Linked DNA regions of Coturnix japonica. The protein of the gene in region 1 binds, or shares a complex with, the protein of each later gene. Links are inferred from orthologs where the notes say so. Each region holds a gene or a part of one and is shown on either strand. Other genes may lie near its edges.

Evidence for each region. Proteins that work in one complex are often made in the same cells at the same time.
Region 2: the proteins of PRELID1 (region 1) and TRIAP1 are in contact, whole or in part, in a crystal structure (PDB 6I3V), measured with the Homo sapiens proteins. The link is inferred for Coturnix japonica from reciprocal best matches to the Homo sapiens genes PRELID1 and TRIAP1. Residues at the interface, in NP_037369.1 of Homo sapiens: Trp15, Asp16, Phe19, Ala20, Trp23, Gln24, Tyr26, Pro27, Val34, Leu35, Thr36, Glu37, Asp38, Ile39, Val40, His41, Arg42, Val44, Gln48, Lys49, Leu50, Leu51, Ser52, Arg53, Leu55, Thr57, Tyr79, Leu81, Asp83, Ser84; in NP_057483.1 of Homo sapiens: Met1, Asn2, Ser3, Val4, Lys12, Tyr15, Asp16, Phe19, Asn20, Trp22, Phe23, Phe27, Leu28, Gly30, Asp31, Ser32, Phe41, Tyr44, Gln45, Val48, Gln49, Ile52, Ile57, Pro58, Ile59, Leu62, Glu63, Phe64, Met65, Gly66.

The regions. Positions count from the first base shown.
Region 1 is NC_029528.1:12,011,882-12,015,281, forward strand, and holds PRELID1 (PRELI domain-containing protein 1, mitochondrial), read right to left. Parts: upstream 2,187-3,400; 5' UTR 2,077-2,186; coding exon 1,985-2,076; intron 1,907-1,984; coding exon 1,681-1,906; intron 1,527-1,680; coding exon 1,413-1,526; intron 1,268-1,412; coding exon 1,189-1,267; intron 785-1,188; coding exon 648-784; 3' UTR 501-647; downstream 1-500. Other genes in the region: MXD3 (max dimerization protein 3), read left to right, coding at 1-51; RAB24 (ras-related protein Rab-24), read left to right, coding at 2,266-2,382, 2,675-2,743, 3,263-3,341. UniProt on the Homo sapiens protein: Involved in the modulation of the mitochondrial apoptotic pathway by ensuring the accumulation of cardiolipin (CL) in mitochondrial membranes.
Region 2 is NC_029530.1:8,239,623-8,243,651, reverse strand, and holds TRIAP1 (TP53-regulated inhibitor of apoptosis 1), read right to left. Parts: upstream 2,773-4,029; coding exon 2,626-2,772; intron 2,453-2,625; coding exon 2,369-2,452; 3' UTR 501-2,368; downstream 1-500. Other genes in the region: GATC (glutamyl-tRNA(Gln) amidotransferase subunit C, mitochondrial), read left to right, coding at 2,771-2,950, 3,424-3,590, 3,666-3,769. UniProt on the Homo sapiens protein: Involved in the modulation of the mitochondrial apoptotic pathway by ensuring the accumulation of cardiolipin (CL) in mitochondrial membranes.

The DNA of each region.
Region 1 (3,400 bases):
AGCACCGGCAGAGACCACAGCTACTCCAGCCCCCGCAGCCCCTGGTCCTGACGGCGCTGTCCCTCGGGACGCGGCTGTGGGGGCATCGGGTGCCTGGTGCATCCCTACATCCCCAGCCCAGGCGGCTGGATGGAGCTGGGCACAGCGCTGGGCGCACGGCTCCGGGCTCCACTGCACAGCAAAGCGCTGCAGGAGTACAAGCAGCACTGGTGGACAGCCCGGCCCAGTGGGGATGTGTGTACAGTAGACACAGGGTAGTGCCCGCCCCCCAGATGCAGCTCCAGGCTAACCCTGGTGAAGCCAGCAAGGGGAAGTGAGCACATTGAGCAACGCTTCGCGCTCCCACCACCACCTTGACTCCTTTTCTTGTACATATCGACACTATTATTGCAGTAAAGGCACTTGGTTAAACTACGTCTGCTTCCTGCCTGCGGCCAGCAGGACTCACCGCCCACATCCATCCCCAGAGCTCTGCTCTGACAGCCCAGCCCTCAGCCAAGTCAGAGGTGGAAGTTGACTCTTTAATGATAATTACACCTTAGGATCTAACAGCAGCTGATTGTCAGACTTTTACAGTTAAAAATATAAAATCTAAGGAGGCTCCTATCTGTTCTGGCGTAGCCCAGCTCTTGCCTGCGTCCAGCTCTTCACACGAACTGCTTCTTCTTGGTGGCTGCTTTGCTCGCCAGGTCCTTGGCTTTTTCTGTAGCAGCCAGAGCTGTCTCCTTTGCTTTCTCAGTTGCTTCCTTTGCTGTTTCCACCAGAGTTTTAGATGGAGCTTCTCCTGAAACACACGAGTTGTTGACCCGATGCCTGTTCCCCCCGCCCCGCCCCAGCTAAAACAAGCTGGGTGAGCCACGTTCTGCCTCCTCCTCCATACAGGGAAAGCCCAGCCCTGTGTTCCCAGCCCACATGCATCACAGCACGTCCCAGTGAGCTCCAGGCACGTGACAACTGCTGCTCTGCTCCTGCCCGTGCTCCACCCCCGCTCAGCCCTGACCAGCACAGCCTGGGCCTGGCAGCTCTAAGCGGAAGAGCACTTGGTGAGGGCAAAGGCAAAAGGCAAAGAGCAAAGATGTCACAGTCAATTTAGCTCAAGCCGGGCCCTGCACACAGAGTGATGCCAGCACGACCTGCATCTCCCAGAGCCTTGTCCTGTCCAGCCCTACCCTGCCCTCGGCTGTTTACCTTGCATCCTTGCTAGCACGTATTCAAATCCTTTAGTGCTCTTGGTCACGTTGCTTTTGAACCTGGCCAGACCAAACTCCTGCAACAGAAAAACTCCTCAGCCTCTATCCCAGGCTGATCAACCCCAAATATTTCGTGGCTCTGGACCCACCAAGAGATCACAAAGGTCGGAAAGTGACAGGGAAAGGAGGAAAAGCAGTACAGTGTCCAGGTCCAGCTCTCACCTGGACTGCCCGCGAGACGCCAAAGAGGCTGGAGGAGACCCAGGCCTCGCGCTTCACTTCGGTCCAGCTGCTGTTCTCAGGGTTCACTCTGTAGACACAGCGCTCCTCCACTGCCTGCAGGGAACAGCACAGCTCAGGGCACAGCACTGAGCACAGCACAGCACTGAGCACAGCACAGAGCACAGCACAGCTCAGGGCACAGCACAGCTCTGAGCACAGCTCTGAGCACAGCCCAGCTCTGGGTGCTCCCAAACCCCCCCGCACCCACCATGAGACGCGCGTGGTTGATGTTCCAGGTGAACGTGGTCATGGTTCGGTTCTTGGGGTCCACGATTGAATCCTCCACGATGTAAACGTTGTGTGCGACGTTGGCCGGGAAGAATCGTTCGGCCCATCGCGGCATGCGGTTGGTCTTGGTCAGGAGGCGCCGTGAGAGCAGCTTGTGGTCCGCCGTCACCTCCCGGTGCACGATGTCCTCGGTCAGCACATGTTTGCTGCAACGGACACAGGGAAGCGCCGCTCAGCGCCCGGTACCGGCAGCTCGGAGCGGGGCCTCCATCGGCCGTACGCACCTGTAGGGGTTGGGGTAGCGCTGCCAGAAGGCGGCGAACACCTGGTCCCAGGGCCCCTTGAGGACGCCCAGGCTGGCGCAGTATTTCCCCATGTGCTCAGGGCTCAGGGCCGCGCCGCCGCCGCCCCGGTTCCGGCCCTGGCCTGCTGGGCGGCCGCCATGCGGCCCCGTCCCTCGCCGCGCACTTCCGCCTCGCTCGCACGTACTTCCGCCCCGCGGGCACTTCCGCCGTGAGCCCCGCCCGCTTCCGCCGCCCCGGCCCCGCCCCGGCCCGGCGCGAGGATGAGCGGGCGGCGGGTGGACGCCAAAGTGGTTCTGCTGGGCCAGGAGGGCGTGGGCAAGAGCAGCCTGGTGGAGCGCTGCGTGCATCGCCGCTTCCGCGCCGGGCCCTACCAGAACGTGAGGATCCCCCGCTGTCCCGGCCCGGTTGTCCCGGGGTTCCCGTCCCCTCCGTGTCCCCGGGCCGCTTCCCCTGGGTCGGGTCCCCGCGTTGTTCCCTCGTTCTTCTCTATGTGCCCGTATCCCCGTGTCAGCCCGCTCGTCTCCGTTGGCCCAATGTCCCCCCCCCCCGCCGACTCCTCGTGTTCCCCCCGGTGCCGTGTCCCACCGCATCCCCAGCCCGTGTGTTTCCCCGTGTCCCATCTCGGATCCCCCCCCTGACCCCGCCGTGCCTCCAACGCTTCTTTTGCAGACGATCGGGGCTGCGTTCGTGGCTAAGGTGCTGACAGTGGGGGAGCAGACGGTGACGCTGGGAATCTGGGTGAGCACCGAGCACTGAGCCCCGGCCCTGCTGACACCACCATCACTGCTCACACCATCACTGCTCACACCATCATCACTGCTCACACCATCACTGCTGACACCATCACTGCTGACGACATGCCGTGACCCAATACAGCGTGCTCACCACCCCCCCTTCGCCCCGTCCCCGCCTCACTCCCCTCCGCTCCCCTCCCCCGCATCACTGCTCACACGGCAGACGCATCAACTGCTCACACACATCACTTGCTCCACCATCATCACTGCTCACTGCACCATACTGCTCAGCAAGCATCCATCACTGCTTGGCACACATCACTGCTCACACCATCACTGCTCACACCATCACTGCTCACACCACCATCACTGCTCACACCATCATCACTGCTCACACCATCACTGCTCACCATCACTGCTCACACCATCACTGCTGACACTGTCCCTGCTGACACTGTCCCTGCTCACACCGGCCCTGCTCAGCCCCTGACCCCCTCGCTGACTTTTCCCTTTGTTCCCACAGGACACAGCGGGCTCTGAGCGCTACGAGGCCATGAGCCGCATCTATTACCGCGGGGCACGAGCTGCTGTTGTCTGCTACGGTGAGAGCTCGGGGCTGGTGATGGTGGGGCTGGGGGGGACACGGTGGAGCTGGGGCAGG
Region 2 (4,029 bases), on another chromosome or scaffold:
AATACCTGCTCCCATATCCAGTCATGCTAACAAGTCCATCATGAAGGATACGAAATGAAATAACATGTTATGTGTGATTTCACTGACTGTTGTTATCCTGCGTGCAGGTGAGCTGCCATCAGTCTAATATTATAAATTAAAATTCAGTATACAGGGAAACACATCCTGCATAATCCACTATTGCAATGTTTAGGAGTCACGAAGGCAATTCTGTCTTACCCAGCCCTTTCTGGGAGAGGGAATTCCAGCAAAGACATTGAACTTAAGCACTTTCAGCCTTCCCAGCGTTAATCCTCAGCTCTCACATTTCTGGTATATCAGCACACGTACGACACTGCTGGGAAAGCTGCAGTCCAATTGGACAAAATCTCAGGGCACACATTGCAAACAAAAGCAGTTTTTGCTCTGCTGCGTGTCTGCGCAATACACACGGTGTCACTCAGCAGATCCTAGAAGGCTGTACTGATTTTGCATAGTTAACCAATTGTAAACCTCTGGAGTCTGCAGAAACACAATTTTATTTCAGAAGCACTACGGGACAATCTTCTTTAGCCTTCAGTGCTATTTATGTCTTCCTCGTAGCTCAGAAGAGCGCTATAATAAAATAACTTAAGCTTATGATAATGCATAGAACAAGGCACTAAGAGGCACAGTTACTTTAACTGTCAAAATACACTAGTTCTTATATGAAGATCATAGAAAAGCAAAGCAGTTTTATGTGCTAGTCGAAAATAAAGCTGCATACTCGACAGACCACAAAGTGTTCTTCCTGGTGCTGAGAAAGAAGTGTCCCAACTTAGCAGCTGAAAGTTAGTTCCATTTATACCGAGTGACCCAGCAGTAAGCATTAACAGCTCACTTTGGAAGTGCTACACTTAATCTCTGCACAGACTATTTTGCCAGCTGCCTTGTGCACACAGGAGCGTGGTTAATGCAGGCTGTGTGACCGTGTTTGAGCTACTGTCATTGCTGAGGACAACTGAGCTCACGCTTCTCCAAGCACCTTTTCTCTCTATCTGTTGCAAGATCTGCAGGAGCGAAGGAAGCCTTACTGCTGAAATATCAGGGTGGACCAGGTAGAAAACATTTGGAGAGGAGAAGGGTAATTCCTAACAACTCCTTCATAACTAGATGGGAAAATACACACCAGCCTATTCTTTTTGCTGAGCAGCCTCCTTTACTTTTCTACATTCAAAGGAAGAGAATTTCAGATACTCGTTTAAGGAAAAAACAAAGTGCTGTTCAGTCATGCTGCACAGAAGTGTAACACAAACACTCTCAGATGGGGCACCTGGCAAGTTAGACAACCATCTCACTCGTTCAAAACCACTACTAAATAACTTACTTAATAACTTACTTGGAGTTTGTGCAGTTTACAAGCCAACTCACTAAGACCAACAAATAACTTCAGTTTGCTTTACTAGGTGTAAAGCTCACACATAGTCCATGAGCAGTTTCATAAGCAGGTGAGGTCCCCCAAGAGGCGGGACAAGCTGCCGGGGCGTTGAACTTCTCAGCTGTGAAGCTTCAGTTCAGCATCACTGTCACTCAACACTTTGATTATCTCAATCAAAGATGTAACAGGAGTTGTGGCCAACCTGGTGCTGTGTGGTCGTGTGTGCAAAGACAGCCAGGCCTGCGCAGTTCTACTGCAGTGACACATTACATTACAGGAGCAAGAACTCAGATTCAGGATCACTTCAGTACCTCGGAAAAGGCCAAAGAAAGTGGCCTCTGCTTTCACTGTTTCTTCAGTTCTGTTGCAGGCTGCCTCTGTCCCTCCTGGAGGTCATAATCAGACGTTACCAAACAGTCATCCACCTGAACAAAATATAACTTCTTACATTTATTTCATTTAAGCTATTGCAAATCCAGCAAAAGTGCTTTTACACCATCTCTGTTACTGGCAAAACCTGTGCTTTAGGCCCTTGGTGTTTGGGATCATATAAACCAGCCTCCTTCCACCCAAATTCAGCACCACAGAGATAAGACAGAGTAAACCAACCTTCTTGTTAGACGCTTCCTAACATCATAAATAAGCAAGATAAACGGGTCAGAGATTAACTACAGGTTCAACATCTCCCATTATAAAGTACATTCGACAGAAGTTAAATCATCTTTTTGCACTGTTATAAGCCGAACCACCACCACGATTCATTGGGAAGGAGGCAGCAGGCAGCACACCGTGAAGTCTTTTGGCTCGCGGCAGTTTGTTTCTACAGGCACAGAGGAAACCCCACTTCCTACAGTGCTACATGGAGGAAGCAGCTCAGCAAAGCGCTGTCCCGGTGCATCCATCCTGGCTGCTGGGTGGCCGCCGTTCCCAGCCCGTGGGCTCGTATCACTGACTCCCCGCATTCAGCTGAAGTCAGGAGGAGTTTTCAGCTTTCCCTTTGCTCGGGCCCATGAACTCCAGCCCTTCGATGGGGATGTCCTTCTCCTTGATGGCTTTCTGGGAAGAACAACAACAAAACGGTTACGTTGGAAGCACGTTTCAAACGGCACCGAGAAACAAAAGCTTCTGTTCACAACGTCATCTACAAACAGCAGCGTCAGCACCGCCCCGCACGGGCTGCAACGGCACGATGCTGGGCTGTGAAGGCGGCGGCTCGGCAGGGCCCGCACCTGCACGCACAGCTGGTAGCGCTTGAAGAGCTGCCCGCACGGGTCCCCGTCGTTCTCGCCCTTGAGGAACTTCTCTGCGAACCAGCGGTTGAAGCACTGGTCGTACTCGCGCTTCAGCTCGGTACACGCCTCCCCCACGCTATTCATGGCGGCACGGCCCCTCCGACACCGCTACGACGCGATTCCGGCGCGTAGCGATGACGCCACAAACCGCTTCCGGCGGCGCGAGATGTGGGTGCCGGGGTTATGGCGGGGACTGCGGGGCGGGACGGTGAGAGCACTCAGGATCAGCGTGTGCACAGCCAGCGCCGCGCCGACACCGCAGGTCAGACAGAGCACGGGGCCGGGCCGTAACGTACCATGCCATGCCATACCCATACCTATAACCATCACCATACCATGCCATACCATACCATACCATACCCATACCTATACCCATACCCATACCTATACCCATACCCATGCCATACCATACCATACCATACCATACCATACCATACCATACCATACCATACCATACCATACCATACCATACCATACCATAACCATATCATAACCATACCATACCATAACCATACCATAGCATAACCATACCATAGCATAACCATACCATAGCATAACCTAACCATACCCTACCCTAACCATACCATACCATACCATACCATACCATACCATACCATACCATACCATAACCATACCATTACCATACCATACCATACCATACCATACCATACCATACCATACCATACCATTAGTGGAGGTAACGGTTTGAGGAGCCCCATCTGTGCTCTCTTGCAGGACGGCGTCACGATGGAGGTTCTCGACCACCTGGAGCGCCTGGCCCTGGTGGATTTCCGCGATGCCGACGGCGTGGAGCGGCTGCGGGACGCGGTGCGATTCGCGGAGCGGCTGCGGGAGGTGGATACGGAGGGTGTCCAGCCCATGGACTCGGTGCTGGAGGACAGGTAAGGGCCGTGTTGGTGCCCCGTGCACATCCAGCCCCAATGTGCTCCATGCAGACCTCCGGCCGCTGTCCTCAGGTGTCTTTATCTGCGGGAAGATGACGTTACCGAGGGGAACTGCACGGCACAGCTGCTGAAAAACGCCACGGAGAAAGTCGAGGAATACTTCGTAGCCCCACCAGGTACCATAGCTTCTATAGAACTTTTGCATCGTGCTCGAGTTAACCCAACACCTTCCAAAGTAAGGGATGACTCTAATCATCTGTACTAACAAACCAAACCTGGAGCAGGCTGCAAGCTATTGAGCCTAAAGCAGTAGAGGGGTTAATGTTACCTTACAGCTCCTGCCCAGCACTGCTTACAGGAAGGCAAACAGAACTTCCTGACTTCCCTTACATGCTCACAAATCAGACTGCAGTAGCACTGTACGTTAAGCTGCACT